Linked DNA regions of Cricetulus griseus. The protein of the gene in region 1 interacts with the protein of each later gene in a pairwise test. Links are inferred from orthologs where the notes say so. Each region holds a gene or a part of one and is shown in the gene's direction. Other genes may lie near its edges.

Evidence for each region.
Region 2: the proteins of Disc1 (region 1) and Pcnx4 interact in a two-hybrid assay, tested with the Homo sapiens proteins (2 studies listed by BioGRID and IntAct). The link is inferred for Cricetulus griseus from reciprocal best matches to the Homo sapiens genes DISC1 and PCNX4.
Region 3: the proteins of Disc1 (region 1) and Cep170 interact in binary tests that used the Homo sapiens proteins (3 or more experiments, as listed by UniProt). The link is inferred for Cricetulus griseus from reciprocal best matches to the Homo sapiens genes DISC1 and CEP170.
Region 4: the proteins of Disc1 (region 1) and Dctn2 interact in a two-hybrid assay, tested with the Homo sapiens proteins (2 studies listed by BioGRID and IntAct). The link is inferred for Cricetulus griseus from reciprocal best matches to the Homo sapiens genes DISC1 and DCTN2.
Region 5: the proteins of Disc1 (region 1) and Eif3h interact in binary tests that used the Homo sapiens proteins (3 or more experiments, as listed by UniProt). The link is inferred for Cricetulus griseus from reciprocal best matches to the Homo sapiens genes DISC1 and EIF3H.
Region 6: the proteins of Disc1 (region 1) and Nefm interact in a two-hybrid assay, tested with the Homo sapiens proteins (2 studies listed by BioGRID and IntAct). The link is inferred for Cricetulus griseus from reciprocal best matches to the Homo sapiens genes DISC1 and NEFM.
Region 7: the proteins of Disc1 (region 1) and Trio interact in binary tests that used the Homo sapiens proteins (3 or more experiments, as listed by UniProt). The link is inferred for Cricetulus griseus from reciprocal best matches to the Homo sapiens genes DISC1 and TRIO.

Annotation. Positions count from the first base shown.
Region 1 is NC_048596.1:201,987,470-201,991,439, forward strand, and holds part of Disc1 (disrupted in schizophrenia 1 protein), read left to right. Parts: intron 1-577; coding exon 578-851; intron 852-3,970. UniProt on the Homo sapiens protein: Involved in the regulation of multiple aspects of embryonic and adult neurogenesis. Required for neural progenitor proliferation in the ventrical/subventrical zone during embryonic brain development and in the adult dentate gyrus of the hippocampus.
Region 2 is NC_048598.1:130,873,744-130,878,201, reverse strand, and holds the start of Pcnx4 (pecanex-like protein 4), read left to right. Parts: upstream 1-1,603; 5' UTR 1,604-1,758; intron 1,759-4,458.
Region 3 is NC_048598.1:17,032,884-17,036,853, forward strand, and holds part of Cep170 (centrosomal protein of 170 kDa), read left to right. Parts: coding exon 1-1,113; intron 1,114-3,970.
Region 4 is NW_023276806.1:130,459,037-130,463,477, reverse strand, and holds the start of Dctn2 (dynactin subunit 2), read left to right. Parts: upstream 1-1,260; 5' UTR 1,261-1,455; coding exon 1,456-1,491; intron 1,492-2,362; coding exon 2,363-2,431; intron 2,432-4,441. UniProt on the Homo sapiens protein: Part of the dynactin complex that activates the molecular motor dynein for ultra-processive transport along microtubules. In the dynactin soulder domain, binds the ACTR1A filament and acts as a molecular ruler to determine the length.
Region 5 is NC_048603.1:3,251,037-3,255,006, forward strand, and holds part of Eif3h (eukaryotic translation initiation factor 3 subunit H), read left to right. Parts: intron 1-1,059; coding exon 1,060-1,216; intron 1,217-3,970.
Region 6 is NW_023276807.1:223,117,574-223,121,999, reverse strand, and holds the start of Nefm (neurofilament medium polypeptide), read left to right. Parts: upstream 1-1,523; coding exon 1,524-2,597; intron 2,598-3,330; coding exon 3,331-3,455; intron 3,456-4,426. UniProt on the Homo sapiens protein: Neurofilaments usually contain three intermediate filament proteins: NEFL, NEFM, and NEFH which are involved in the maintenance of neuronal caliber.
Region 7 is NC_048595.1:358,604,702-358,608,671, reverse strand, and holds part of Trio (triple functional domain protein), read left to right. Parts: intron 1-1,032; coding exon 1,033-1,545; intron 1,546-2,757; coding exon 2,758-2,880; intron 2,881-3,970. UniProt on the Homo sapiens protein: Guanine nucleotide exchange factor (GEF) for RHOA and RAC1 GTPases. Involved in coordinating actin remodeling, which is necessary for cell migration and growth. Plays a key role in the regulation of neurite outgrowth and lamellipodia formation.

The DNA of each region.
Region 1 (3,970 bases):
CCAGCTATGGGGTGGGGAGCTTCCTCCAAGCATAGGTTGTATAAGCTGAGTCAGAAGCACTGTGATTCTGTGAGGGGAGCAAGAGAGAGAGAGAGAGAGAGAGAGAGAGAGAGAGAGAGAGAGCTGCTGAGCAGAGTGGGATGGCCAGTGGCATTAGTTCCCTACTGGCCTGGGCCCTGTTATACATGTGTCAGTGGGTGAGGGTTTGCTAGTGGGATGACATTCCAGGTAGTAGAACAGCACCTGCAGACGCCTGCAATTAGGCAGATATGGGCAGGCTTGTTGACATAAGAGATCCAGCAGGAGTATAGGGCCAGATGTACTGGGTAACTGTTCTTGGAAGAGCAAATGGGATTCTGGGTGTCCTTGCTGACCAGACAGCTAAGAAGGACCCACGTGGATATCACTGTGACTAGAGACACACAGATTTTGGTCCCTCTATGTCTCCAGGTTGAAGTTTTGTCTCTATAAAATGATGTCATGGAGTGTAAGATGACCCCCTGATACTAACATACTGTCCATGGGTAGCATGAGCCATTGCTGGGCTAATTTCCATGCCTGCTTCCCTCTGTCTTAGCTGCAGGTGTCCACTGCTTGCAAGAGTGTGGAAAGCCGACTTGGAGGCTTGTCAGCTGCTGATGCAGAGTCTGCGGCTCCAGGAAGCAGGCATCAACCCACATGCAGAAGGTGAGAAGCAGATGGACAGCATAGGAGAGGCCACCTGGACAGCCACCCTGACTGCCCATCCCAGACCACACCCAGAAGAGGAGAAGACCCCCTTGCAGGTGCTCAATGCATGGAGCATTCACTCAACCCCCTTACCACACTGTGCTGGAGGCCAACAGAAAGAGGTTTGTCCTATGTATGCGTGACTTTTTCAGGGGTCCATGTGGCGATGAGAACAAACAGAACTGGAGGGGGGTTGCCATAGACCCTCACAAAGTTCCCAAAATTCATACAACTCTTGAATACGATAACAAAATAGTGTATAGCTTTTTGAAGCTTAAAACATAGACGAGCAAAGAGAAAAGCTTAGAACATTAGCTTTCTTTTTAATTCTAGTTTAGAGGGCCCCATTGTTCTAATTCATTCTAGAATAAGGAAGTTCATATAGAATCATATGTAGTATGCACTATGCATCTTATATAACATAGGTTGTTATACAGACTGTATATCATATATATTCAATTGTATTTCTAGAGCCTATAGATTATATCATTTATGAATTCAAACATTCTAATGTTTGAATTCTAATACATGGTGTCATTTTCACCAAAAACAGATCATGATGAATGTTTGTGGTTCATTTTTTTTCATGAAATCAAAGCAAAACAAAGAGCAGAGAGCCCTGTTGTTTGGCCTGATGTGTACATTTCCATTAGAACATGATATTACTTAATTTTTAAAATCAGGGCCTGACCCTGACAAGTGGAGAAAGCTCCCTCACCCCACTTTCCCAGCTTTCCATTCTGCTCCTGCCTGAAGTCCAGAGGGGTTCCTTGGGTACATGTCTTCCCTCTGAGGCTTCCAAGTTCCTTATTTGGTGGTTTCTGGGTATTCCGTCAGGTCCCATATGTTCTGTAAGGGAAGAAGTTGGCTATAGCTGCTGCCTGACTCATGCCCTCACCTTGACTTTTCAAATCCCATTGCACCCCTTCCTTTGTCTTTGCCAAAATTCAATGAGATGGGAGAGTGGGTGGGGAAAGCACCCTAGCCAACCTGCAGGGTCTCCTGCTCCTGATTAGGACTAGAGTCGTGACATTACAGACCCTGTGCCCTGTGTTCAGCATAACAACCGGTCACTGTGTCTGTGCTGTCTGAGGACTGGCTGTGCTTGTATTTGAACACATGTCCCCATGGGAAGATGAGTAGTATCATAGTCTCTCTGGGTCCCTGCTAGCCTCGGCTGGGTAGGCTTTAAGGAGAACTCCTTCAATACCCAATATTCTCTCTGGAATTGCAACATAGTTTCCCAAATACTTAACAGCTTCTCATGGAGCCAACATTTTACTGGGAAGGTCATAGCAAACCCTGAGCCTATTTCAGGAGCCTGAAGCCAACAGAACATCTTAAAGGTGAGATGGCAGTATTTTGTTATATTTGTTTTACTTTAAAACACGTGTTGCTGCTAATCTCTGACCATGTCTAATTTATAAATCAGGCTTTGTCACAGATAGGTATACATATGAAAAATTGTTCTACTTAGGTTTGATGCTGTCTGTAGTCTTAGGTATGCACAGAGGGGTCCAGGAACATTGAACCGGCATTCTTTGAATTCACAAATACCATAGATCTTAAGATGATAGATATTTTTTGGGAAAGGCAAAAATGATGGGACTGGAGAGCAGGTCTCATTGCCTGGAAGCTGGGAAGAAAGAATCTGGGAGTAGTGACAGATGTGTTTTCTGTCTTGTGGTGGAACCACTATGTATATATATGTAGCCATCTGAATCATGGCTTTACAGTGGAAAAAATTGCACATAACTTTTCAGAACTGACTAAAAGCTTAATGCAATGTCTGCCTGCTTAAAACAGGGCTGTATATGAAACAGGGGGACTTACCTCAAGACTCTGAGAGCTCAGGGGAGGAGAGGGCTCAGCTTGGAGTTCAGGTTCCATTTCTGCTGCTGGGAGGCTGCATCTTCTCATCCACTGACTCAACACCAGCAACAACGTGGGCTGGAGGGATGGTTCAATGGGTAGAGTGTTTGCTGTGTAAGCATGAGAACTTGAGTTAAATTCCCAGCACCCACATAAAAGGCTGGGCAAGGTAGTATAAGCTTATAAGCCCAGCACCATGGATGTAGACACAGGAGTATCACTGACTTTGCCAGCCTGCCAAATTGGTGAACCTCAGTGCAGTAAGAGACCCTGTCTCAAAAAAACAAGGACTGACATCTGAAGTTGGCTTCTGGACTCCATATGCACATACACACACAAGAATAGTCTCCCTGTGCAAACACAAATACCTGTGCACACCCTTGTCACCATGCATGCACATACAAACTCACACACACATACTTACCTACACAGACACATACAAAAGTAACAATGGCCGCAAAAATCAAGAGAGAATAATCAGAACTAAGTTTTTAGTGGCATTAATTACCCTTCCTGTTACCATGACCAAATGCCTGACAGAAACAAGAGAGGAGAGAATGTCTTTGGCTCACTATTTCAGAGACCTCAGCCTGTCATGGGAGGCATGTATGACCAGGGCAGGCTACATCACATTGGGCCATCTCTTTTGTCTTGTTAGTTGTAGTGCCTGTACACGTGGTAAAGCCTGGCTAGTGTTAATTTCTGTATCTCTGGTGTTCTGGAGGTCACAACACCTAAAACACCCTTTGATAATCTACTTTGCTGGCATTGTCAGGAGGAGAAAGTGAGCAGTGAATGAGAGAGATGCCTAAGGAGAGGCAGGCTATAAAGGGGAAAGCTTGCTTGTGTTTGCTGGGAGATTTTAGACCACTAAGCCTCAGAGGTGTGATACTTGGGGGTCTCCTGGTGAAGGTGGTTTTGTCTTCCTGTCTTGCTTTTCAGGGGCTATTGAAGTCTGGGGAGGGATGATGTGTTTATCTTGAGGCAAAATGTCCCTTTGCTTTGCAGCTCCAGGTGTATTTGGCTTTGCAAGGCGCTGCTGGGCCAGGCTACCCCCCCCCCCACACACACACTGGTTTTCCTATTGAAGCATGACACCCTGGGGGCAGGCAATTGCTTTTCAATCCAAATCTTCCATGACAAATCGAGGGCTTCTTACAGAGGTCCACAGGGAGATGGTTTCAAAGCCTTTCCTAAGCTTATCTGGCCTGCACAGTGATATGCATTTCGAAGACACATTGTTCAGGGAGTGCTTTGTCACTCTGGAACACCAGCCTTGTGGCTGAAGGTCCCCACCAGGCTACTCAATGCCATTGCCTTCATTCTGCAGCTGAGTCCATGAAGGCAAGGCCCTTTGCTTGAGGCTTTG
Region 2 (4,458 bases), on another chromosome or scaffold:
GGGTTTTTTAAAGATAAGCTATTGTGCATTTAGTAACCCACAATATAATAAGGTAAAATTTTAATGTATGTTGAGAAGCTGAAAGAGTTGTTTTGACATTTGAGGTCAGATAGCCCAGCAAGAAAAGAATCCCAGAAGAATTAAAATTTCCTGTGAAGACTGCCTACAGAGAGACAATACTCCTTTTTTAGGGACGCATTTCAAATATGAATGTTTAAATATCTGCAAGTCATGCTTAGGACCTGAGTATTCATGACCTCACTCTTTTCCAAAAATACATAAATCTGAAAAGTTCTGGGACTCTAACAAACAAGACTATAAACATATTTTTCAAAATACCCTTTTAACCTATCAGCTGTATTAGATCCAATGGACATCAGTAACCTGCTTATGTCACTCCACTTTCGTAGCATAGCTTTCTGTGTAAGCTCAGACATCACCAAAATCATATATGTGACCATGTAAAGGGAAAAGTCCCCACACTTTCGTGTGTCTTACCTTGTCATTGAGCATACCTATTAACCCCTGCACTTTATGATAAAATCATTAACAAACTCTCAACTCTGCTTCATACAGGCCCACCCTGAAATTTTTTGATCTCTGAAAAGAACTCGGGTTGCTAAGGTGGCTATGCACAACCTGTGTCCCTGGCCCCTGGCCCACTGTCACTGATAAGTTCACTATTATATGAATATAGTTTATAATGTCCCCAAAGTATTATACTATGAAGAGTAAAAACATGTGGGACGGTGGTGTCACACGCCTTTAATCCCAGCACTCCAGCACTCCGGAGGCAGAGGCAGGAGAGGATCTCTGTGTGTTCAAGATCAGCCTGATCTACTGAGTGAGATCCAGGACAGCCAGGGCTACACAAAACAGTGAAATACTGTCTGGGGGGGGGGGGGGAGGTGAAAACATTTGAATTGAGATCGTGTATGTAACAAATATACACATTGTTTAAAACGTTTTGAGAATCACCGATATATGACACAAAAATAGACACATATAGTTGGAAAGATGGTACCAAGACTTGCTGTGGTCATGAACCTTCATTTTGTAAACAGGAAAAGGCAGTATCTAGTAGTGCAAGACAACAAGGGTATTTGGTTTCAAATCTAAGTAGAATAGGCACGTGGTGCCATTTAAAAGCATTCAGAATCCCGAGGCTGTTGTCTGGCTTTAGTTCTGTGGTCATTAATGTTGGTCTCAGGACCCTAGTGGATTGAACTCCTATTACATTCTTGAGTCATGGGTCTGCCAATCTTGGAGCTCCTAGGCTCCCAAAATAGTAGTCTGGAGGCTCGCAGCGCAGGAACATTTCGTCACCAAGGCAACCACGTTCTTGCGTCTGAGCGTAGCCCGGGTCAGAGCTCAGAGGTGGTGCTTAGGATGGATGTTCAAGGACCTGAGTGGCAGTCGGATCCTAGCGAAGCCCACAGCTCTAGGCCCCGGCGCGGAGCAAACACCGCCCACCCCGCTCCCCTGCGCTGTGCACGGGAACCCACCTCCCGCCGGGTCGTGCCGACGGGGGCGGAGCGAGACGCCCAGCCCCGCCTCCGAGCGCGCGTGCGCACTGCCTCCTGGGAGGCGGGAGCGCAGTTGATGTTAGCCATGGAAACGCGAGCGGTCCTGGAGGCCCCGGGTCAGCTGCTGGTGCCGGCCGCATCCATCGTCGGGAGGGAGCTCCCAACCGACCTCCCCAGGGGAGATGTGGTCCCGGGACGCCCTCGCGTCGCCCCTCCCCTCGGGTGACTCCAGGTAAAGTCCGTCCCAGACACACCTGGGGCTTCGTTGCTGCCTTAGTTTCCACGCGTGGATACCACCCGGTTCTTTCAGCTTTTATTTCCTCAGCAGACGTCTTCCGATCTCTGTTTGAAAGCTTTTAAATGCAACTGTTGCTCTTTTTTTATGTCCAGGGTGAACCGAATTGATAGAGGTAGTGACCCATTGTGGTTTTTAACCGGGCAGCAAATTTTGCACCCCGTGGAGCTGCGTTTTCTTTCTGAGAGGCCTTTGTGAAATGGAGTGTCCCTTTGGCCCTGATGAGGCATGAGCATGTTACCCAGATCAAGATCAAGGACTGTGCCCCTTAGGTAGAGTTCACTGTTTCTTGGTTCTCTCATCTCAAACCCTCCTCCCCCAAATTGCTCATTCTTGGCCGCCTGGATACATATATAGCTCGTTTGTCAGGTTTTTCTGTCTCCTTATAATCCTTTGCGAGTCAAAGACCAGAATTTATGTAAATGAATCCCATTCCCGTTTGTTATTTATTAGGCCTCCGAATTACCTGATCTGTGCCTCCTATTTCCCCCTTACTCATTTTTTCACTATTGCTTTATTTTTTTTTCATTAAGTTCCTGCATTTAGAGAGAACATTCATATTTCTATCCACTTACAACCACTCTCATTAGCCCATCATTTCTTACAGCATCCAGTTCAGATATTGCCATTTTAATAACTTAACAGTTTGGGGCCCATGCTGTCTACAAGTTTTACCTTTCCTATCGAATGAGATGCTTGTTGACTGTTAACTTCTGTGGAAAATCTCGGGCAGGGAACTTTTTCATCTTCCTCTGTAAGAGCTTTCTTGAGGTACAACTCATTATCTGGAAGTATACAACTCATTGGTGCAAGTGTATTGACAGAATTGCACAACCATTGCTACAGTCAATTTTGGAACAATTTGATTACTTCAAAAAACCAAAACAAAACATAGTTTTAGCTCCTTTTCCTCACCTTTTCCCAATATTCCTGCCCACTTTAGTTCTTGGCAATCACTAATCTATTTTCTTTTTGTCTCTACAGATTTATTCTAGGTGTTCCATATAAACAGAACCTTAAAATATCTGATTTGAATGCGTGCTTTTAGCTTCTTTCACCTTAAAGGAATGTTTTTCAAGTTCACCCATGTCAGAGCTTTATTACTTCATTATTGTTTATTTTATAAAAGTCTATTATGCAGATGCGGGTCATTTATTTGTCCTTTTAGCCATTAATAGACACTGAGTTTTTTTCCTTTTGGCCAGTAATAATATACTGTGTACATTTTGTATAAGTTTTTGTTCAGGCATGTTTTCATTTCTCTTGGATATAATAACCTGGTAATAGAGTAGGTGAGTTATATGCTAATCCTCTTGTTTAGGCTTTTCAGAAACTGCCAAGGTTTTCCAAGGCACTGCACCACTACATCCCCACCAGACGTGTTTGAAGGTTTTAAGTTAACCTCACCAGTATTTGTTTTTGTCTTTCATTTTTGTTTTAGCCACTCAAGGAAATTCAGAGTATCTCATGGTAGACTTGGTTTGCTTTTCCTTATGTCAGATTTCATTCCCAAGTCCATCTGGCCCATCACCCAGAAATTGTCGATTCTTATCCTTAGTTCATCTTTTAAAACCCAAGTTGTATTTTCATCATTGAATTAGAAGAATTCATTATATATTCTAAATACAAATCTCTACTTAATAGCCTTTTACTATTCTGTAAATTGGTTTTTTCACTTCCCTGATAGTGAGGACTCTTGAATATACTTTTTCAAGAGTGTTAGGTGCCAGTGCCCTCATGCAAGCTTAGGTATCAGGTTTTACATTTTTACACTTTGTAGATTCCTTTCAAATCCACCACTCAAGAATCCTCAAAGCAAACTGTACTTTTGTTTGATAATAGGTTGGTATGGTTTAAAACCTTAGTTTGCCACTAGTTAACGTTGTAACTTAGTTGTCAATATTGTTGGTTCTCGATTTTTTGTACAGTTATTTCTAGTGATTTCTATGAGTGTCAGGCTTGACGCTGATGATACCTTTTTTGAGAGAAAAGGTTATCAAACCAATTGAATTTATTAGAGTGAGTGAGAAATGGGAGGGTAGTCAGAATCTTTAGCTTTTTCTTTCCATTTTAATTGTCCATGAGTAGTAGGATGCTGTTGTGCTGGCTTAATTTTGTGTCAACTTGACACAGGCTAGAATCATCAGAGAGAAGGGAGCCCTAAACACCTCTGTAAGCCTGGGCTACAGACAAACCTGTAGATCTTTTTAAAAGTATGTGATTGAATGGGGAGGGCCTGTTGTAGTCTGTATTTACCAGAAAAGACTGTTTGGACATGGGTTTAAGCCAATGGAAAGTCTTTATTAGCTGGCCATTAACTTGCACTGGTGTTTGGGATCCCAGTGTAACCCCAAACCTTTCTCAGGGTGATCTTTTAAGCACAAAATCCATGTCCTGGGTTGACACACTTCAGTTAACAAGAAGAGTTAGCAAGAAGCATAACTACAGAAGCCAAAAAGCAAGGTACTAACCTTGCTTTACATTTTAGAGACTTTCCCATAACTATGGACTTCGATGGATTAGGACTTTGTTTTAGTTTTGGCAGGTGGTGTTGTCTACCCTCTGAGTTTTACAGCCTGAATGATACTTTCATCATGGAGTCAATTTTGTCAAGGTCTGAGGGCCTGCTAAGGTCTG
Region 3 (3,970 bases), on another chromosome or scaffold:
CTCATATCAATAAGCAGAATTCATCTGCTCCCACTTCCTTAGCATTGGCATCTGCAAGTAGACTTCGAGAAAGGAGCGACTCTTTGGATACTGATTCTAGCATGGACACAACCTTGATTCTAAAAGACACAGAAGCAGTGATGGCTTTTCTAGAAGCTAAACTGCGTGAAGATAATAATAAAACTGATGAAGGTCCAGATACTCCCAGTTACAATAGAGACAATTCTATTTCACCGGAATCTGATGTAGACACCGCCAGTACAATTAGTCTAGTTACTGGAGAGACGGAAAGAAAGTCCACCCAAAAGCGGAAGAGTTTCACTAGTCTCTATAAAGACAGGTGTTCCACGAGTTCCCCTTCCAAAGATGCTACAAAGTCAGGCACTAGGGAGAAAATTGAAAAGAAAGCAAAAAGTCGCTCTACAGACATAGGTGCAAGAGCAGATGGTCGAAAGTTTGTACAGTCCAGTGGAAGAATCCGGCAGCCTTCCGTAGACTTAACCGATGATGATCAGACCTCTAGTGTACCTCATTCTGCTATCTCTGACATTATGTCATCTGACCAGGAAACATACTCCTGTAAATCCCATGGAAGGAATCCACTTACCTCAGCCGATGAGCACAACATACATTCCAAACTGGAAGGAGGCAAAGGAACAAAGTCTAAGACTTCTCCTGTTGCCTCTGGTTCATCAAGTAAATCGACCACTCTCCCAAGGCCACGGCCCACCAGGACTTCCCTCCTGCGTCGAGCCCGGCTGGGTGAAGCTTCCGACAGTGAACTTGCTGATGCTGACAAAGCATCTGTTGCCTCTGAGGTGTCCACCACAAGTTCCACATCAAAACCACCCATAGGAAGGCGAACAATCTCTCGGATTGATTTATTGGCTCAGCCTCGGAGAACAAGACTTGGCTCATTGTCTGCCCGTAGTGACTCTGAAGCAACAATATCAAGAAGTAGTGCCTCTTCACGCACTGCAGAAGCCATCATTAGGAGTGGAGCCAGATTAGTACCATCCGATAAGTTTTCTCCTAGAACTAGAGCTAACAGTATCTCAAGGCTATCAGACTCCAAGGTCAAAAGTGTGACCTCCACTCATGGCTCTCCTTCAGGTAATTGGATCCAGATTTCTAATAACATTAGCATGTTCTCTATGTGGGCTTTTTATTTAAAAATTAAATTTCTAGCTGTCTTAGCAAAGTAATTCAAAAATAAGGTTAAAATTAGAGGGTTAATGTTCTTCCATTAAAATGTAAAATTCAGAAGTCAGTGTAATTCCAATGTCTTATACAAAGTAGTGATTTCAGAATAAGAAATTAACTGAACAGATTTAGGAGTTTTAATTTTTTATTTGATAATAATTGGATTTGTTTGTCAGAATTTTATTAGGAATTACTGTCTATTCTAAAAGTAATGCTATGCTTCTAAAATCAGGTATTTCAAATTTCTTATGGACCCATGGAGAATATACATTTTTTCAGTCAAGATGGAAATAAATAGCAGATGTAAAGAAATATGTTTCATATACTTACACATTCGGGGTTGGAGCTCTTGAAAATTAACTTTAATTTCAGTGGGAGAAACCAGATTCATAGGGGGATTGCTAAGCATATATGGATTAAACTAAATTGGAAAGTTAATTAATTGTGAGCATTATCTCACAAAGTCCTGTTGTAGCATTTAACTATAGTAATTACATAACTGAATATAATTGCAATCACTACTTACAGTCTCCCAGTATTGAAGTGATATTGGCTAATTTGTCTGTATTTAAGCTGAAGCCACTGAGAGAGAGTATATGACCACAGCAGTGAGGCAGCTAGCTGATTGTGTGTATCCTCATATAATAAGCATGTTCTTATTACCTCACAATCAGCTGCATATGTGGGTGAGGCTGAAAAGGCCGGGAAGGGTAAACCAGTTTGAAGCCTTGAAGGTTTATGATTCTTTCCCAGCAAGCTAAGTGAGCCTAAGTCTTGAGTTAAAGTGGAGGAACGTTAGTATATAACCTTCCTTTTATTTTTGCTTGATTTATAAGACATCTTTCATGATTCAAAACTAGTATTACTTCATAAACGGTGTTTTTGTTTTTGTTTTTTCCACTTCCCGTTCCTCCTTTTCACTTTGCTTTCATCCATTCTATTTTCTTTTCATCTCCATTGGTCAGTGGCTTTGGTAATGATAGTTGTAGACTGTGGTAGGACTGGATATAAACCAAAACTAGAGAATATATAGCCATGCTTCCTGAAGGATAAATGGCATTTGTTGTTCTGGTCTGTTTCCACATACTAGTCCTTGATTGACTATTAATGAATTGGTTGCTAGGTATTGTTCCTCATTTATTTCTTATGGCCCTCCCTTCTCAGTTCATTCCCTTTGCTGCACTCTGGTGTGTACTCTGGTTTCCTCTGAAACACTGCTTGCTTTACCACCTCACCTCCATTTAAGCACATTAACACATTAACATGAGTGGTGATGGAAGTTGTTTGGTAACATGGAGCATGAAGTGGCTGCTTCTCTGCTGAGTGACTAGCTCTTACCATGGGGCTAATCTAGCTTTATTCCTTATTCTTTAGCATGAGGGGCTTATTTAAGATGTGGTCTAAATAGGACCACTTGGCAAGAATGAGAAACAAGCATAAGATTTCATATCATATATAGACAAATTTTGATTTCTGCTTTGAATGCAGATCTTGATACTCACTTTTTGTTATCTAAAACAAATAAAAAGTCTTGGGATTCCTTAATGAAATTCCCAAGGGAAAATTGTTACTTTCGTTCTTTATACTTAGTAGTCAGCTTTTACATAACTCCAGTCATGAAATTTAAGAGCTATCTAGGGAACTGGTGCCAGGAGATAAAATAATTTGCCCTGGTCAGATGTCAGGTCAGAATGAGAATCTAGGACCTTTATTACTGGCTGTTGAGAAATGGAACTATATGCTAGCTTCCAGAAGACAGCTAATATCTTATTACTAGAAGCATATACAAGCTGAATATAAAGTATAATAGTTTGGGTGTTGTTCAGTAAATCATTGAAATCATATTATCCAGTCCATGTCAGTGAAGAATGTACTAAATAGTTGTTGCATGGAATTATTACTAAAAGATTTATGTTTGCTTTTAACAATTGAATATCTTTGATGCTATAACATTTCTATTTAAGATATATTATCTTGAGTGGGAAAAGAGAAGAAAATAAGGCTTAAAAGAACATGAAATTAGCTGGGCATTAGTGGCGCACACCTTTAATCCCAGCACTCGGAAGGCAAAGGCAGGTGGATCTTTATGAGTTCAAGGCTAGCCTGGTCTCCAGAGCAAGTGCCAGGATAGGCTCCAAAGCTACACAGAGAAACCCTGGCCGGGGGGGGGGGGGGGGGGGGGAAGAACATGGAATCATATTGATCAATGTTCCATTCTCCTTGTAAACTTTAAAGACCTTGAAGTTATCTACCACCTATGAATCTGTCCATATTGACATATGTAAAAAAATTATTTTTGATTCAGTATTTTCTTTCATATAATTTGGTAAGCATTGATGACTGGAAATGTATAGCAACGTTGATAGCAATTCTTTTATGCATCTCTGGTACTATTTGCTTCCAAGGGCTCAATGACTTGCCTTTCTCCCATATTTTTTTGGTGACAAAGGAAATACCCAGCTTTATTTTGGTCAAGATTTTGGTATTTAAAATTAAAGGCCCTTAGTTATCAAAATAAAGCAGTTGACCAGCTACAGTGGTTAACACCCATAATCCCAAGACTTCAGTAAACTCTAGGCCAGCCTCGGCCACTTAATGTGTTCCAGATTTGGACTGTCTAGCAGGACCCTGTGTCTAAAAGCTATATGCTACTATGAATAGCAGCACCACCACTACTAATAAACTATCTGGTGTTCATTATTTTGAGTGTACAGGTTAAAAGGTTTATTAATATTTTTAAACTTTTTCTTAAGTGTCTTCCATTTTA
Region 4 (4,441 bases), on another chromosome or scaffold:
CCCCATGGTGGGAAGAAAAAACAGACAAATAACAGTTGTTCTGTGAACTCCAAACTTACGTAAAGACAAGTGCTCGAGCACATACACACACGATAAATAAATAAATGTTAAATCAATTCAATTAAATAGTGTTTCTTTGTCATGTATATACTTGGCAAAATGAAAAGAGTACCTATATTATGTCTATTCTCCAGAAAGATCTGTTGTCAGCCTGGACACAAAGCTACTATGTACAAGGTCCCCAGTACAATACCCAGCCCTGAAAAGTGAGTTTCAGGATACCCTGGGCTAAAGAGTGAGACCATGTTAATTCCTTCTTCCTAATTTCTGGAGACTATTAATGAAGTGGTGACCACCATGGAGTGTTCAGTCAGAGTTGCAGCTATCATTTTTCCATTTAGATTTCCAAATTTAAAAAAAAAACCCATAATCAGCATACCCAGACAAATTTGAATTTCAGATTATTATATGCATATCACAAATATAATAAGACACATGCTTTTTTGTTGTTATTTTTGTTTTTTCGAGACAGGGTTTCTCTGTGTAGACCTGGCTGTCCTGGAACTCTGTAGACCAGGCTGGCCTCAAACTCACAGAGATCTGCCTGTTTCTCCCTTCTGAGTGTTGGGATTAAAGGTGTGCACCAGCACTGCCTGGCCCTGAAATTCAATTTTTAAAAAAATTCTTATTAGTTTTATGTATTTAATGTATACGGATGCCTTGCCTACATGTATGTCTGTGTACCACATGTGTGTCTGAAGAGGGCATGGGACCACCTGGAACCGGAGTTATAAATGGCTGTGAGCCACCATGTGGGTGCTGGGAATCAAACCCAGGTCCTGCAAGAGCATCCAGTGCTCCTAACCGCTGAGACATTTCTCCAGCTCCTGAAATTAAAATTTAACTGAGGGACCCTGAGTTTTGTCCTGCAGCCCTCATCTGAAAAGACTGCTTCACTTTTTCGTCCCTTACATTTTTTACTAAATCATACTGTTGTTGTTCACAAAGCGACGAGCTGTGTGATTTCGAGCCCACCTCTAGATGTTCGGAAGTAGGACTTATGCAATCCTTTTCGTAGACTATTAAAAATGATGGAAAAAAAATAAGCTGTACGAACTAACTCTCTCCCTAAGGTGTGTTATCGTCGTTCCCAGCCCCAGCCCCAGAGGCCCGAAACTACATATCCCACAATGCCACACGGCGTCTCCTCGCCATTACCTCATTCCCCGTCGCTCGCACCAATCCCAGGCTCTTCAGGGGTGTGGTAGCCGGCCGTCCTCGCGACTTTTGCGGTACCCTTCCGCCGGGTGACTCCTGTCGCGAGACTTCCTGCTCCTCTGCCGCTCCCTTTACCGTCGCCTTTGCCGGGAACCCGGACCCAGCCTCTTCCCCCACCCGGTCACCGGCCCCGGCTCCACCGAGGCCTCGGTCCCCCAGCCCCGCCTCGCCGCCGCCATGGCGGACCCTAAATACGCCGACCTCCCCGGCATTGTGAGTACAGGGCCGGGCCCGGCTCCCCAGACCGCGCCCCCGATCTCCCAAGGACCCCCAACAGAAACCAGCCCGCGACCCCTCCCGCTGGCACCCCCTTCTCCGCCCTAGCGGTTACCGCCGCTCGCCCATCGACGGCTGCAGCACCTTCCGGACTGCCGACTCGACTGGGCCGGGCTTTTGGACTCCGCGTCTGGCCCCCTTTTTCCTGCAGTAGCCAGTTTCTCCGCCCAGGAATCGCCTCCGGGCGCCCGCCACTTGTGCCCGAGTGTTTGTATCATCCATGTCAACACTGTCCTGGTCGCCCCAAATGTCCCGATTGCCCGCCCCCGCATCCTTGCTCCAGCCATACTCACTAGGCCACTTGATGATGGCCTTCATCTCTCCAGGGAAGAGGTTACTGTCGCAGAAAACCTTGTGCCAATTGGGAGCTCTGTCCCTTGGGAGCACCCGTGCCTGCTCCTCATGTCCAAGGAGGCATTTACGCTTCGGTGGTGTTGGCCCTGTCCATTTGCATTCTCAGGGTTGGGAGACTGGCCCATAGGACCTTGAGAACTAAGTACCTGAGTCACTCAACCCTTGTAACAGTGGAGTGGTATGCAGGGCAGGATAGTTACCTAGGACTGGCCTCTCAGCTGGGCCCAGGGTAGCATCTTTCTTTTCACATTGGTCATTTGCCCCAGGTCCCAGTTTGTCCCTGTGGTTGTCCCACTGAGGTGTGGGAGCTGACACCCTGTTGACAGTGGAAGTGGAAAACCGGTAGAATCCTTGAATCACAGTCCGGGTTTTGCATTAGCTTGTTCATAGGAAATGGGGACAAGAGGTGAACGCTGGGATAGTGAGATTGGGTGGTCACTGCTTCTACCTGCAGGCCAGGAACGAGCCCGATGTTTATGAAACCAGCGACCTACCTGAAGATGATCAAGCAGAGTTTGATGCGGTAAGACTCTGTGCTGCCTCAGGACCCCTCTCCCCCAGATAGGTCTTTTCCTTCTCTGGCAAGCCACAGCAATAAGTGAGTATGCCAACCCCAGCCTGGGTGATATGTAGGTCTCAGGGCCTTGAAAGGCCTTGCTGAGCTGGCAGCCATCAGTGAACAATGCCAGAAAGGAGGGTCATGCCAGTGGGACTACGGCTAACTAGACCTGCTAGTAAAATCCAAGTCTTAGGTTTTCTAAATACAATTGAAATATCTCAAAACAGTTACATTCTGGGTTAGTGATTAATTAGGCCCCTGGGTTCTAATCCATGCTTGGACTTTAATAAATTGTTTACAGTTGGAGTAGGCCTTTTTGTTTTATAATATATTTCACTCAGTGCATTCTGATTAGTACTTACCAAGAACTTGAATTTCAAGTACTAGTAGCCATTAGGCAAGGTGTAAACAAATGACTTGGAGACTTCAGACAAGTAAGAGGCCTGGTTAGACCAAAGTAATTTTGGGGAAAATACACAATGAACTCTGAGGAGTCGATGTGGATGCAGGAAAGGAATTATTTTGTATCGTTTAACAGAATATATCATTCTGTTTTGATTCATTCTGTGCAGAGGAAGAGGCGTCCTTGCCGCTAAGGAGCCCTTGACTAATGTGACCATCAGGATGCATACAGGAAATAAGGAGAGGAGTTAGGATACATGTAGGTAACATAAGAAGAAGCCTAAAAGGAATGAACAGAAATGAGTATAGTGCTATGGGGACAAAGGCCCAGCAATGGCTTGTATAGATCATGTTTTATTATTTCCAAAGAAAGTTGAGCTGGGCCCACATGGATGCTGTGAGACCTCAGTGAAGGTGTGGAGACATCTCAGCAGGCCCAGTATGTGTGTCTGTTAGTCCTGTGGCTGTGTCTGTGGGGCTGATTAGTTGTGGGGATTGTTGGTTGCTGGCTTTTATAATGATATGGCTTGGCATACTCACTTATTCCTTGTTTTGTTCTCCCCTGTGGGAGTGTCTCCTACATTGTGGGGAATAGCTTCTCTGTCCCTTCTCTCGGCAGTGTGTTCCTTGTGGCTTCTGTATTTGCTGGCATGTCAGTCCACTTCTCCCTCCTCCCCCCAGCTTAAGTATCTGGAGGTAATGCAGATGATGTCATAGCCGGGTACTTAAATGAAAACCTGTCCCTCCGAGAGGTGTCTTAGTTACCCTGTCCTCATAGAGTAGCAAAGTATGTAATGAGGAATTCCTGTACTACATCAATGAAAGATGGCCCAAAACCTGCCTATAAAATAACAAGCCCCTGTAGGGGACTGTCCCTTTCGCTTACTGTGATACAAGTGCACAGTGGTACCACAGCAACCCTGTCTCCAAACAAACAGATGGCATCATTATTTTCTTTTTGGAGGTAGAGAGGTAGCTCTTAATCATAAGAAGACTGTGCCCATTATAGGCATGATGGGACCTGAATATAAAGCTCCAATTGGCTCCTTTTCCTCACTGAGCCTGAGCAGCCTATTGCTGTAGCAGTTAATGACTGTAGAGGGAGGACATCCAAAGTTTGTTTCCTTCAGCATATTACCAGGAAGCAAGGGTCTATGGAAGGGCCTGGGAGCCGGATAGTGAACACCGGTGATTTGAAGCTGCTCTCATCACCATGGCTCAGCTCAGGGGTCAGAGAGGAGTGTATGTGGAGACCTTCAGCCCTTCAGGAGCCCGGAGAGCCAAGTTATTTCCTGATGTCAGCTAATGTCTCTGCCCCCCCCCCCCCCACCCCCCATGTCCCTATGGGCCTTAGGAAGGCAGCTTTCGGGAAGTGAGCTGCATAATGGCTCTGCTGCTGCTCACAACACTGATGTAAACGTACAACATGAGCGCTGCAGCTGGATGCTCCACCTACCTGGGACTGTGACTATGAGGTCTGGGTGCTGGCTGGAAGCATGCACATTTCTCATCTCAGCCTCTACTGGGGTCTCCAGATTGTTTTCAGCTTTAATTTTATTTGTATTTATTAAG
Region 5 (3,970 bases), on another chromosome or scaffold:
CAGTTGAGGCTCAGCATTAAACACAGGAGTCTGGGGCCTTTCATAGTCATACCGTAGCAGTAGGAAAGCAGGAAGACCATACAGCTTCAAATGGTGGATGGGTAAAGATGCTTTGATTTATTTTTGAATGCTTCATTTCATCAGATGGAAATGGCAAGATTGTGCATTGATTACTTTGGTGGCGGAGTCTTTCTTGATAAGTTTTTATTTTGGCCAGTGTTGAATGCTGTAGATAATTTATCCTTAAATTTGAAATTTTATTTGTTGAGAGGATCACTGGTGATTCCCAGGTTTATGTTTCCACGGAAGACCAATGCTCCAGTACCTGGAGCTCCTTTCCATTTGACAGGTACTCCTTTTGAGGGCTTTTCCAGAGATAAGAATTTATTGAAGTCAATGAGTCCTCATCACAGGGTTTTAAGCTTTCTCTGTAATTATCCTACTAGTCATTTATTTATCTGCTGAATTTATTTAGCAGCCAATTGGACCTCTATGATTTCCTGTCTCTTTTGGGAACGTTGAATGGTTAAGTGTCCCTGGTCCATAAGAGGAAGCAAGTGGAGTGCTTCAGGAACGCTGGAAGGAATATGGGATAGTTTCCTATGCTTCAGCTGCAACTGCTTCTTACATCCTTGACAGCCTTCCTTTGCCTTGTTTCCTCTGTGAAAGGAAATAAGGTTACTCTGACTGGCTTCTTTGTGGAAACGTGCTGGATTCTAGACATTAGCATTCCCCTTTGCATATGTGGATACTGGCTTTTAAATTGTAGGATTCTTCTAAACATCTAAGTTCAGCTTACCTGTCTTCTGATAACTGTTACTTTGTTTTTAACAAAGGCTTAGTGATCTCATTAGTAGGGTTAACTATCTAGGAACCTCATGTGAGCCTTATTATTTATGTTAGGTTAAAGGAAATGGTTTGCAAGACAAAATTTGTTGAGTCCTAATATGTAGTTTTGTGGTTTTGGAAACTTACTGGTGGCTTTTCGATCTTTTCCTTAAAAATAAGTAAAACCTAGACTAGTGTGGTGTTTAAGTTGTCTTTCCTGTTTCCTTTTAGGTGGTATTAAAGATCATCAAACACTATCAAGAGGAAGGACAAGGAACGGAGGTTGTTCAAGGAGTGCTCCTGGGTCTGGTTGTAGAAGACCGACTGGAGATTACCAACTGCTTCCCGTTCCCTCAGCACACGGAAGACGACGCTGACTTTGATGAAGGTAAGCGTGCAGACTGGTGTCACGTGTGTCTTTACCGTATCTATGTATGTATGTATGTATATGTATATGTGTATATATACAAGTTAACACATTTTCTAGTGTAGCTTGATAATATGTTATTGGGAATTTTTTATTGGGTTAACCTAAATCATTTGATTTTTTTTTTTTTTTGAGTTTTTTGGAAAATGCATATTCTATGCAATGAGAATTTGCAATAAAGTTCATTGCTTTGTCCTGTTTGGCATCTATTTATTATCTTCTGTTTTGAAGTATTTAAGAAGAGAGATGCTTTAGGAAGATTATCCTGTAGTTAAAAGATTACACCAGACACAAACTAAACATCCTTAAAGATTTCTCTTTTAAAATCTAGTTGAAAATAACTTTTCACTTTTTCAAACTCTTAGGACCCCGTTTATATACGATTAAAAATTAAAAATGGTTGCCTATAGCATATGACCGATTTTTATTATCATAATTTTTATGAATTATGCATGTTGTCAGTAGATCTCTAGAAGTTTCTCATAAAAGTGACACTGTTAGCCTTTCTGTCTCTCACTGCTGATAACCACTGTTCTGTATTGCTTTCTGTTTGCCTTTTAGATAATTGATAAGTTAAATCATGCAGACTTTGAGGCAGTATCAACTTTCATCCATGTTGTAGCATATGGCAGGATTTCTTAAGATTTTTTTTACTTAAAAGATGTGTGTGTGTGTGTGTGTGTGTGTGTGTGTGTGTGTGTGTGTGTGTGTGTGTGCGCGCGCGCGCATGCATGCATGTATGTGGGTATGTTGGATCCTCTGGAGCTGGAGTAATAGGTGGGTGAGCCACCTGATGTGGACCTTAGAAACCAAACTCCAGTCCTGAGTCATTTCTCCAACCAAGAATATCTTTTATTTATTCCTTGACAATTTTTATATATTTATGCAATGTATCTTGGTCAGACCTATTCCCAGATCCTACTCCACCCACCCCCTACTTGCTACTATAAATCCTTCCGCCAAAGCCGCTGAGCCCTAAGGCCACGTGGGCGCTCTCCGCCAGCCGCCCGCCTGAGTTAGGCCCAAAGGAATACACAGAAACTTGTATTAGGTTCAAAGCTGCTTGGCCAATGACTAGGATTCTCATCTGCTAGCTCAGTCTTTTTTTTATATATAGTCTTTTATTATTATTATTATTATTATTATTATTATTATTATTATTAATTCAAGTTAGGGAACAAGCTTGTTTCACATGTAATTCCCCTCTCCCTCTCCCTCCCCTCACCCCCATTCCTTCTCCCCCACCTCCAACCTACCCCCCACCCCATCCACCCACCACTCCCCAGGCAGGGTAGGGCCCCCAACAGGGGCTCCACCAAGTCCACCAAATCTTCCTGTGCTGGGCCTAGGCCCCTCCCCATGTGTCCAGAGACAGAGTGCATCCCTTCAAGTGGGATGGGCTCTTAAAGTCCCCCACACACACCAGAGCAAAACGCCAGTCCACCTCCGGAGGCTCCCAGGAGTGCAGGGGCCTCCCCATTGGCATCCATGATCAGGGGGCTGGATTAGTCCCGTACTGGCCTCCCAGAGAGCGTCTGGGGTCGATATGCTTTCCCTTTTTCAGGCCAACTGTTTCTGTGGGTTTCTCCATCCTGGTACAGACCCCTTCGTTCTTCATTCCTCCCTCTCTTCAACTAGGTTCCCGATTTCAGCTCAGTGTATTTCTGTGTATGTCTGTCTCTGCTTCCATCAGCCACTGGATGAGAACTCTCCTGGCGGATCGGTCGCTGGGAACCTAGCTCAGTCTTAATTATCATAAATCTATATATGTTATAAGACTTATTTTTATAGAGGATGCCTTTCGTTGGCGCCCTCTCTTGCCGGTGGTTCACATCCTGCTGCTGGAGGAGGAAGGGGAAAGGGGACACTTCATCTTTCTCCTTGCTTATCAGTCTCCTTGCTATGTCACTTCCTGCCTGGAACACCACTTCTACTACGTTTCCCATAATCCTCTTTGACTCCTAGTCCTGTCTTGCTGTTTCATTGGCCAAACAGAACTTTAACAATCAATAAGATAAACACACACAGTGCATTCCCCATCACCTACCTTCCTGGCTATTGGCTATTTTATCTTTTTCTTCTTATTTTATTTATTTATTTAGTGACCCACTGGGTCCAATTAATGCCACCAGCTGGAAAGTTGGCGGATCACCAGTTGCCTTGTTCTTGCAGGTCCCCAGTTTCAGTGATTTCATGAGCGTAGTGTCCATATCATGTCAGGAAGATAGCATTTCACAGCACTCCTGCACAGACTCACCCCCCAGCTCTTAGCTAAACTCCTCCTGCCTCTTATATGCTGTTTTCTCAACCTGTATGTGTAGGGACTGGATTGAGATGTCCCATTTTGGGCTGACACTGAGCTACCTTTTCTTAGCACCTTACCAGCCTCTGCATCACTGCCCACTGCAGAAAGAGGCTTTTCTGGTCAAGGTTGACAGTAACATTAATCTGTGGCTATAAATATAAGTATTTTGATGACAGTTTGACAACATGGCCATTTAGCAACAGCAGTAGGCGCCCACTTAGAGCCCTTGGGCTTTTGACCAGGTTTGTGGAATGAGCCACGAATTCCCTTCTTTGGAGTAGGCCTCAAATGTAGCCATAATCTTCTTGGTTTTCCCATAATTTTCATGCACTGTTGCACCAACAGGTACACATTTCCTGGCAGGTCCTTATTGTAGAGTTCAGGATGCAGCCCTGGGTAATGATGTGTTT
Region 6 (4,426 bases), on another chromosome or scaffold:
GGACATCAAAATCTACGTGGGGAAATACAACATATTTTTTAAAGGGAGGGGGAATGCCCGGCTTATTCAAGACAGGGGTGAATCTGTTCTGTAACCTTTCAATTAGTTTAAAACTAATTGAATCACCTAATCAATTGTTACAGCACACAAAAGCGGTGCCTAGGCAGAAAGATGACAAAGCATTTTTCAAACTTATCATACATTCTATCTCCCTGGATTTTTCATCTCGGATTTCAAATTCCCCTTCCCAAGGAATAGTTGACCTTCAAATTTCAGGCCTTGTGTCTCCTTTCCCAGCATCCATCATTTGTTGGTAAAGTCAAACTGGTTTTCAAGTCTCTACTTCCCTTAACTGAGTTTAAGGAATTTTAGTTGTTTTCGAAATCTGCAGTGTGTTCATTGTGCCAACTCTGCACTGCAGAGAAGTCTTAGCGTGGGATTCCAGCTTGGTGCCTACAACAAACAGTCACTACAAACAGGTTTAGTATTTTCTGGGGGAGATGAGCCACAAATGACCCTCCTCTGGGCTCTGGCAGGCAAGAAACCAGCAGCATCCCACGGCCCCGCTGGGCGCTGTCCTTGGTGCTGCCGGATCCTTGGGCGCCCCTGCGCCTTACCTTCTGGAAGCTGCCGAGGTCCCCCAACCGTTAAGCAGACCGGAGCGCCAAATCACACTTTTAACTCAAATGAATACTCCAGCCTGTCCTCTTTGTCCCCTTCCCGGGGGTTTCAGACCTGCCATTTCTCAAAAACTCTCTTTTTTTTTTCTTCTGCATAACTCTCAGCTCATCTCAGCCTGCTTTAAGACAAGGCGTAGGCGGAGGAAAGGGTGGACAAGGAAGATAAGGATGAGTGGGGAAGGAAAAAGGAGAGTGTGGGGGGAGAGAGGGGAAGGGGTGAAAGATGAGGCGACAAAGAAAAAAAGTCCCAGGGGAAAGGGCTCCAAGGGAAATGCCGGGTGAGAACTACAAAAGAGAGAGAGAGAGAGAGAAGACAGAGAAGGGCCACAAGGGGGTTGGAGGTGGGTGATAAAGAACAGCAAGCCTAAGGTCAAATGTAAGGAAGAAAGAGGCTTAGAGGTAGGGGACCAAAGAACAGCCAGGAGGCCAGAGAAGAACTGCCCAACGGGCCAGAGAGTGGCTAGACAAAGAAAGGACGCTGAGTCGGCACTTAGACCAAGGCTGTGAACTGCAAACTGCCGGTGAAAAGCAAAAAAGGGAGATCTACAGGGTGACAAGTGGTCTGGGACCCAAGGGGACGCTGGGGAAGGGCCGGCAGGGCTACACCCAAGTGCGGGGTCCACTGTGGCGCCGGCCCACGTGGAGCGTGGAGCGGCCGCTGAATCACCGCAGGGCTTGTCTCCCCCTTCCCCCCACCCCCGGCCCGGTGCCCGCAGTCCCCGCCTCCTCGACCGCCGCCTCCACGGGGCGGGGCCCTGGCCCGGGACCAGCTGCTCCGCTATAAAGGGGCTGCGGAGAGGCCGGCAGAACGCTGTGACAGCCACACACCCCAAGGCCTCCAAGATGAGCTACACGCTGGACTCGCTGGGCAACCCGTCCGCCTACCGGCGGGTCACCGAGACCCGCTCCAGTTTCAGCCGCGTGAGCGGGTCCCCGTCCAGCGGCTTCCGCTCGCAGTCCTGGTCCCGCGGCTCGCCCAGCACCGTGTCCTCCTCCTACAAGCGCAGCGCGCTCGCCCCGCGCCTCGCCTATAGCTCGGCCATGCTCAGCTCGGCCGAGAGCAGCCTCGACTTCAGCCAGTCCTCCTCGCTACTCAACGGCGGCTCGGGCGGCGACTACAAGCTGTCCCGTTCCAACGAGAAAGAGCAGCTTCAGGGGCTGAACGACCGCTTTGCCGGCTACATAGAGAAAGTGCACTACTTGGAACAGCAGAACAAGGAGATCGAGGCGGAGATCCAGGCGCTGCGGCAGAAGCAGGTCTCGCACGCCCAGCTGGGTGACGCTTACGACCAGGAGATCCGAGAGCTGCGCGCCACGCTCGAGATGGTGAACCACGAGAAGGCTCAGGTGCAGCTGGACTCGGACCACCTGGAGGAAGACATCCACCGGCTCAAGGAGCGCTTCGAGGAGGAGGCGAGGCTGCGCGATGACACCGAGGCTGCCATCCGCGCGCTGCGCAAAGACATCGAGGAGTCGTCCATGGTAAAGGTGGAGCTGGACAAGAAGGTTCAGTCTCTGCAGGATGAGGTGGCCTTCCTGCGGAGCAATCACGAAGAGGAGGTGGCCGACCTGCTGGCTCAGATCCAGGCGTCGCACATCACGGTAGAGCGCAAAGACTACCTGAAGACAGATATCTCCACCGCCCTGAAGGAGATCCGCTCCCAGCTCGAGTGTCACTCAGACCAGAACATGCACCAGGCCGAAGAATGGTTCAAATGCCGCTACGCCAAGCTCACCGAGGCGGCCGAGCAGAACAAGGAGGCCATCCGCTCCGCCAAGGAAGAGATCGCCGAGTACCGGCGCCAGCTGCAGTCCAAGAGCATCGAGCTCGAGTCGGTGCGTGGCACCAAGGAGTCCCTGGAGCGGCAGCTCAGCGACATCGAGGAGCGCCACAACCACGACCTCAGCAGCTACCAGGTAGGAACCGCGGCTGCGCGGCCGGCGGGCGCCAGCGCCAGCGCCAGCGCCGCGCGCCCCCGACACGCTACTGGAGCGCGCGCTCAGAGGCCCTCTTGGTCGCGCTCCCTGGTGGCGACTCGCCAACGCGCACGAGCGCTGCAGACCCGAGTTAGCTGTGTCCCAGGGTCCTTGCCCCGCCTTTCCTCATTGCCCCACCCACCTGGCTCAGCTGCTTAGAAATTCCCATCTCCTTCAAAAACTTGCTTTCCTATGGTAGATTCTACTTTTAAAGTAAGAGGCACATTCCGGTGATCGAGAAATTTGTCATTTAATAAGCAGAAGCACAGATAGTCTCTTGTATTCTCCACACACACACACACGCACCCCTCCCCACCCCCGCGATGGGACAAGCTTTCAAAACTGGCTTCAATCCAGAATTTGGGTGGGGATAGAGGGTAAGGTCCAATAGAGCTTCCTAGGGTCCCCTAGTGTTCCCTTTAGGGGCGTTCTAGGCTTACTGACTTCCCTGCACATAGTACCTGGGAAATGTCTGGTTGATTTTTATTGGTTTGTTTTGAATTCCATTACCAAAAAGAGAAAGAAATGGGGAGGGGGGGCTAAGAGTGTTGTCTGCTAGACTTATGTAGCTGGTGGCGGGGTGGGGATGGGGGTGGGGAGGCAGGTTGGGGGAGGAGGAAAGCAAGTGTCTTTCTTGTGAAGGAAGTTTCTGGAGATACCCTGTGCCTTTCAGGACACCATCCAGCAGTTGGAAAATGAGCTTCGGGGAACAAAGTGGGAAATGGCTCGTCATTTGAGAGAATACCAGGATCTCCTCAACGTCAAAATGGCCCTGGACATCGAGATAGCCGCATACAGGTAGAGGATCTCTGCAGCCTTGGTCCAGGCGCTATCCGCACTGCAGAGGTTGTTGGCTCACAGCCTTCCCCACTTAGGCCAAAGCTGACAGGGTTAGCTCAGAGGCCTGGTTCCCCTGCTCGGTTAAAAACAAATAGAATCCTCCGTGTTGCAAATGCACTTTTATCACTTTTATTTGTCTTTAAAGAGTGAATATAGGGAAGATGCGGGACGAGGGAGGAGTTGGGGGAGGGAAAATAATATGATCAAAATACAGTTGTATGGAAAAGCCCAAAAATGCACAAAAAGTGGGGAAATGGTATTTTTAAGTTGCTAGGGGCCACACCAATAGGCTTAAACATTTTGTTTTAAATATCCTTGTATGTCTGGCAGGCAGATGAAGTTTTGATTTTTAGTATTTCATCTGATGATTCTAACTCTTTTATAATGCCAAGGACAAACACCAGGTCATTCTACCACTGTTTTTCTCTTGCAGCATACTGTTGCCATCATCTGGCTGAGACTAGCTATAGATACATTAGAATATAGATAGACTTATTTTAAGTCTATGGATGATATACATGCATCCTACCTGACTGCAGTATATGTGATACTCATATAGCTAGATCTATACAAGCATGTATGTATAGGAACATATAGAGCTAAAGGTATAGGCAATTAGAGGTTTGATATCCTTATCAACAGACTGGTTATAGGTCTCCTGATTAATGATGTCTTTCTGCGGACCAGATTCAAAGCACACAGTTCTTGACAAAGCAATCATTTCCCCGAAACACTCTACAGCCAGAATAAACTGCACTTTCTTTTTAAGAAAACCAGATGATTATACAAATAGTCATTCCATCACTGAAATCATAAAACAAAGTATAACTGGGTTCACCAATATTAACATCTAGCTACAGTTCAAATTCATCAACATTCTGATTTATGCCCAATAGTTTTTTTTTTAATTTTTAAATCATTTTATTTGC
Region 7 (3,970 bases), on another chromosome or scaffold:
AATTATGAAAGATATTTTATTGGGGCTTAGATATTGCTTAATGGAAAATTTAATGTGTGATGTATTTTAATTATACATGTCCTAAATAAATAGTAGTTTGCACTCACAGGTTTACTAGTCTAATTTACTAGTCTCTTACTAGTCTCTTGGGCTCCTGAAGGCGCTTGCCCATCGTCTTCCTGACCTGGTTGTCTCTGCATGGTTACCAGCCTCTCTCTGTGTGGCTGCCTCCATGCAGATTACTAATGGTTCAAGCAAATGATAGGCATAAGCCTCCTGGACCATTATAGGCTAAAAGCAGCTCCAGCTTGAGCCGCTCTTTCCAGCCCGGCTACCTTGTGTTATTTCTGATGCCAGCATGGAAATGCCAGTTCTAGGACTCTGGCTGGCTGGAGGTGATGGGTGGATTAGCCAGACTGCTTATCTTTCAGTTCTAGGGCAGCTCCTTCTCTTTTGCATTTGCATCTTACCACTCCAACCTCATGTTTTCCTTGAGGCATCGTATCAGTATCAGTAGGCTTCCATTCCAATGCATCATGTCGGGAGTGCTTGCTTAGACTGTACTAAACTCGGGTTTTGTCTGTGTTAAATTGGGATGCAGGGCAGACTATGTTCAGATATGTTCAGACTGCGCCGGATTGTGGCAGGTTATCACAGGGAAGGTGGGATTCCCCCTGTCTTCACTCTGTGAAATCACCTTCACCAGCTCTCTTGTGAAGCCTGAAGTGAGCTTAAGCTTTAGTTCCTTTTCTCCTCCTTTAGTGGAATCTAGTTGATTTGGGACTTGTGAAATTCACAGTTCTATGCTGCTAGGCATTCCCACTGCAGTGTTACTTGCATGGAGTTTTTCATCATGCTGACGATGAGCTGCCCATATTTGTTCTGGAGAGGCAGAACCAGGCATGGCCTGGGTTTTACAGGAGCAGGTTACTTTTAACTTTGAAAACCCATGTGTGACCACTGTAAGTTACAGGTTGATATGACCACATAAAACTGGCTCAGCTTCTCATACATAATTTTTTTTCCCTTAAGACAAATATGGTCTCTTTAGAAGGCCTTACCAAAGTAGTTGATCCTTCCCAGCTAACTCCCGAGTTCGATGGCTGCCTGGAATACAACCATGAAGAATGGATTGAAATCAGAGTAGCTTTTGAGGACTACATTAGCAATGCAGCCCATATGCTGTCGAGGCTAGAGGAACTTCAGGATATACTTGCAAAGAAGGAGTTGCCTCAGGACCTCGAGGGGGCTCGGAACATGATTGAGGAACACTCTCAGCTAAAGAAGAAGGTGATTAAAGCTCCCATAGAGGACCTAGATTTAGAAGGGCAGAAGCTGCTACAGCGGATTCAGAGCAGTGACAGTTTTCCAAAAAAGAACTCGGGCTCGGGCAATGCGGACCTGCAGAACCTCTTGCCCAAGGTGTCCACCATGCTGGACAGGCTGCACTCCACCCGGCAGCATCTGCATCAGATGTGGCACGTGAGGAAACTGAAGCTGGACCAGTGTTTCCAGCTGCGGCTGTTTGAACAGGATGCTGAGAAGGTAAAAGCGGGAGGGAGGGGCATGCCAGCTTGACAGAGGGGAGCTGCTGGGTCACTGGGTCTCGCCTCTGAGACTGGTGTGATAATGTGAGGAAACAGAGAGAAGGAGGAAAGTAATAGGGCTGCAGTTCCAGTGTGCATTCCACAGCAAGGGCCATTCGGAAGCCATCCTTAATCTGGCCTCCAGTTTTACTCTCAGTACAATACAGTGCTATTTTAGAAAGTCTGAGCTAAAAGCTACCGGTGGTTTGAAGAAGAGTGCCTGAAAGGCAGGCAAGAGTGATTTTTTTTTTTTAGTCCACATTGCACAATTGTGTTCTTAAAAGCAGTGATTATGTATAGATTTTCTGATACCCACCCTCTGATCCAACAAAGCCAGCAAAGCAAACCCTATTCAGACCTATACTGTGTCCTTTTCTAACAAAAGGTGAGTGATTCCATTAGAAATAAGTTTCTAGGTGATGTGGACAATAATGACAGATGTCCTGGTCAGAGTGGATGCTCATTCATTGCCAGATAATGTATTCTTTGCAATGTGAACAAAAAGGATGCTTGCAAACAGGAATGGTTTGCAGGCCATGGAGATAGGTGAAGTAATGTCTTAACTTGTGGCCATTCGGTTTTGTTTTTCCATGGATTGGTAAACGCACTGGAAAGTAAAAAAACCACATTAGAATTTTTTGATATAGGGTGCTAAAAGGATTTTTAGATGGGTGAGTCAGCATCACTGGCTTACCTGAGACCTATCAAACTCTCAAGTCCTTTGAAATATTTTGGTAATTTGGTTGTTTGTATTTGCTCAGGTTTCTGTGCGTGTCTTGCACGAGAGAGTGTATTCTTTCAGCTGTTAGTAATGTCTTCATAGATCCTAGTACAGAAACACTCCAAGGTCCTGGTTCCAGCCTTGGGTCTTCAGAGGGAGAGCAGTGAGACCCATGGAGCACTTTTTAGAGGAAGGGGCCTGGGCACAGAAGACAGGGTTTCTCTTAGGTTGAGGGAGCAAGCTGAGTTCCTCCTTATGAGACAAGACTTTCTTGAGATCTGCTGCCTCAGAAGCTCTTGCTTGTTCTTAGAGGCATAAACCCCAGCAAGCTCAGGGAGACCTCAGAGAAGCTAGCAACCCCCCCCCCACACACACACATACCCCTCCCACCCCTCACCCTGCCCTTTCTTTTTCTGCAGTGATCCCAAGTAATCTTTTTCCTTCTGGTAGATGTTTGACTGGATCACACACAACAAAGGCCTGTTTCTAAATAGCTACACGGAGATCGGGACTAGCCACCCTCATGCAATGGAGCTTCAGACACAGCACAATCATTTCGCTATGAACTGTATGGTAAGCTGTTGTGAGACCCTGCGGAAGATGGGAGGCAGTAGGTGGCTGGAGTACACATACCTCAGACAGCCTATGTGGGGCCTTCAGTGGCAATGGCTATAGAGATGATAGTTGTCACCCTCATTTCTTATATGACTTTGGACAATTTGTTTGACCTCTTTGACCCTTAGTTGCCTAATCTATGACTTGGGCACATTGTCTTTCTTTGATATATTGTGTTATTTGCTCTGCATGTCTAGAACACTTCATTGTGGCTTTCAAGAATCATAATCAACACCTGCGATATTATCTAATCAAAGTAGGAGGGGAAACTCTTCAAAGTATGATTGACGTCCCGTCCCTTCTCTCCCTCTTTCCTTCCCTCTCTCCCTCCTTCCCTTCCTTCTTCTTTCCTCCCTCTTCTCTTTCCCACCTCTAATTTCTTTCTTTAGATGCTAGCATCTTTTTCTTCTTTTCTACAGTACGTTGTGTTACTTTTCTCAATTAAACTTCTCTTAGGATATGATCACTCTTACTGTGCTGATGACAGCAGTTCAGCAGCTTTCTGGACCTTTCTTGCCCCTTATTCTGACACCTCCACCAGTCATCAGCTATCATGCATGCCAGGCAAGGCCAACTAGCTTTCAGTCCTTACTCCTTCTGCCTGTAGTGTTTTGAGGAACCTTAGAGAATAAAAGACTAAATACAAATACATAAGTGGGCAGTCTCTAAAGGAACCTGATTAGGGAATACCAAGAATGACACTCTAGCATAACATACAAGCTTGAGGATGAAGTCAAGGCATAAGTACTTGTAGTTGGGATGGCGCCTGGCCACATGGTACAGGCTCTGTAGGGCTGAGTGGGTCTCAATGTCCCTGGTTGTGCTGGAAATGATAGAGTAATGGGAAATGGGAAGCACGTGGCTGGTATAGTCTTCTTAGGAAATGAAAATGATGGAGGAGTATGTAATCCAGTCTGTAGATGATCCCTGCTAGGAGGACCATTTCGGTGGCCTGTACTTCTCTCATTCTAATGGTTCTAGCCGAGAGCCTCTGTGTGTACTCTCCTGGCAGAGTGTAGTGGCCTTTTCTCTCAAGGATTCAGAGAAA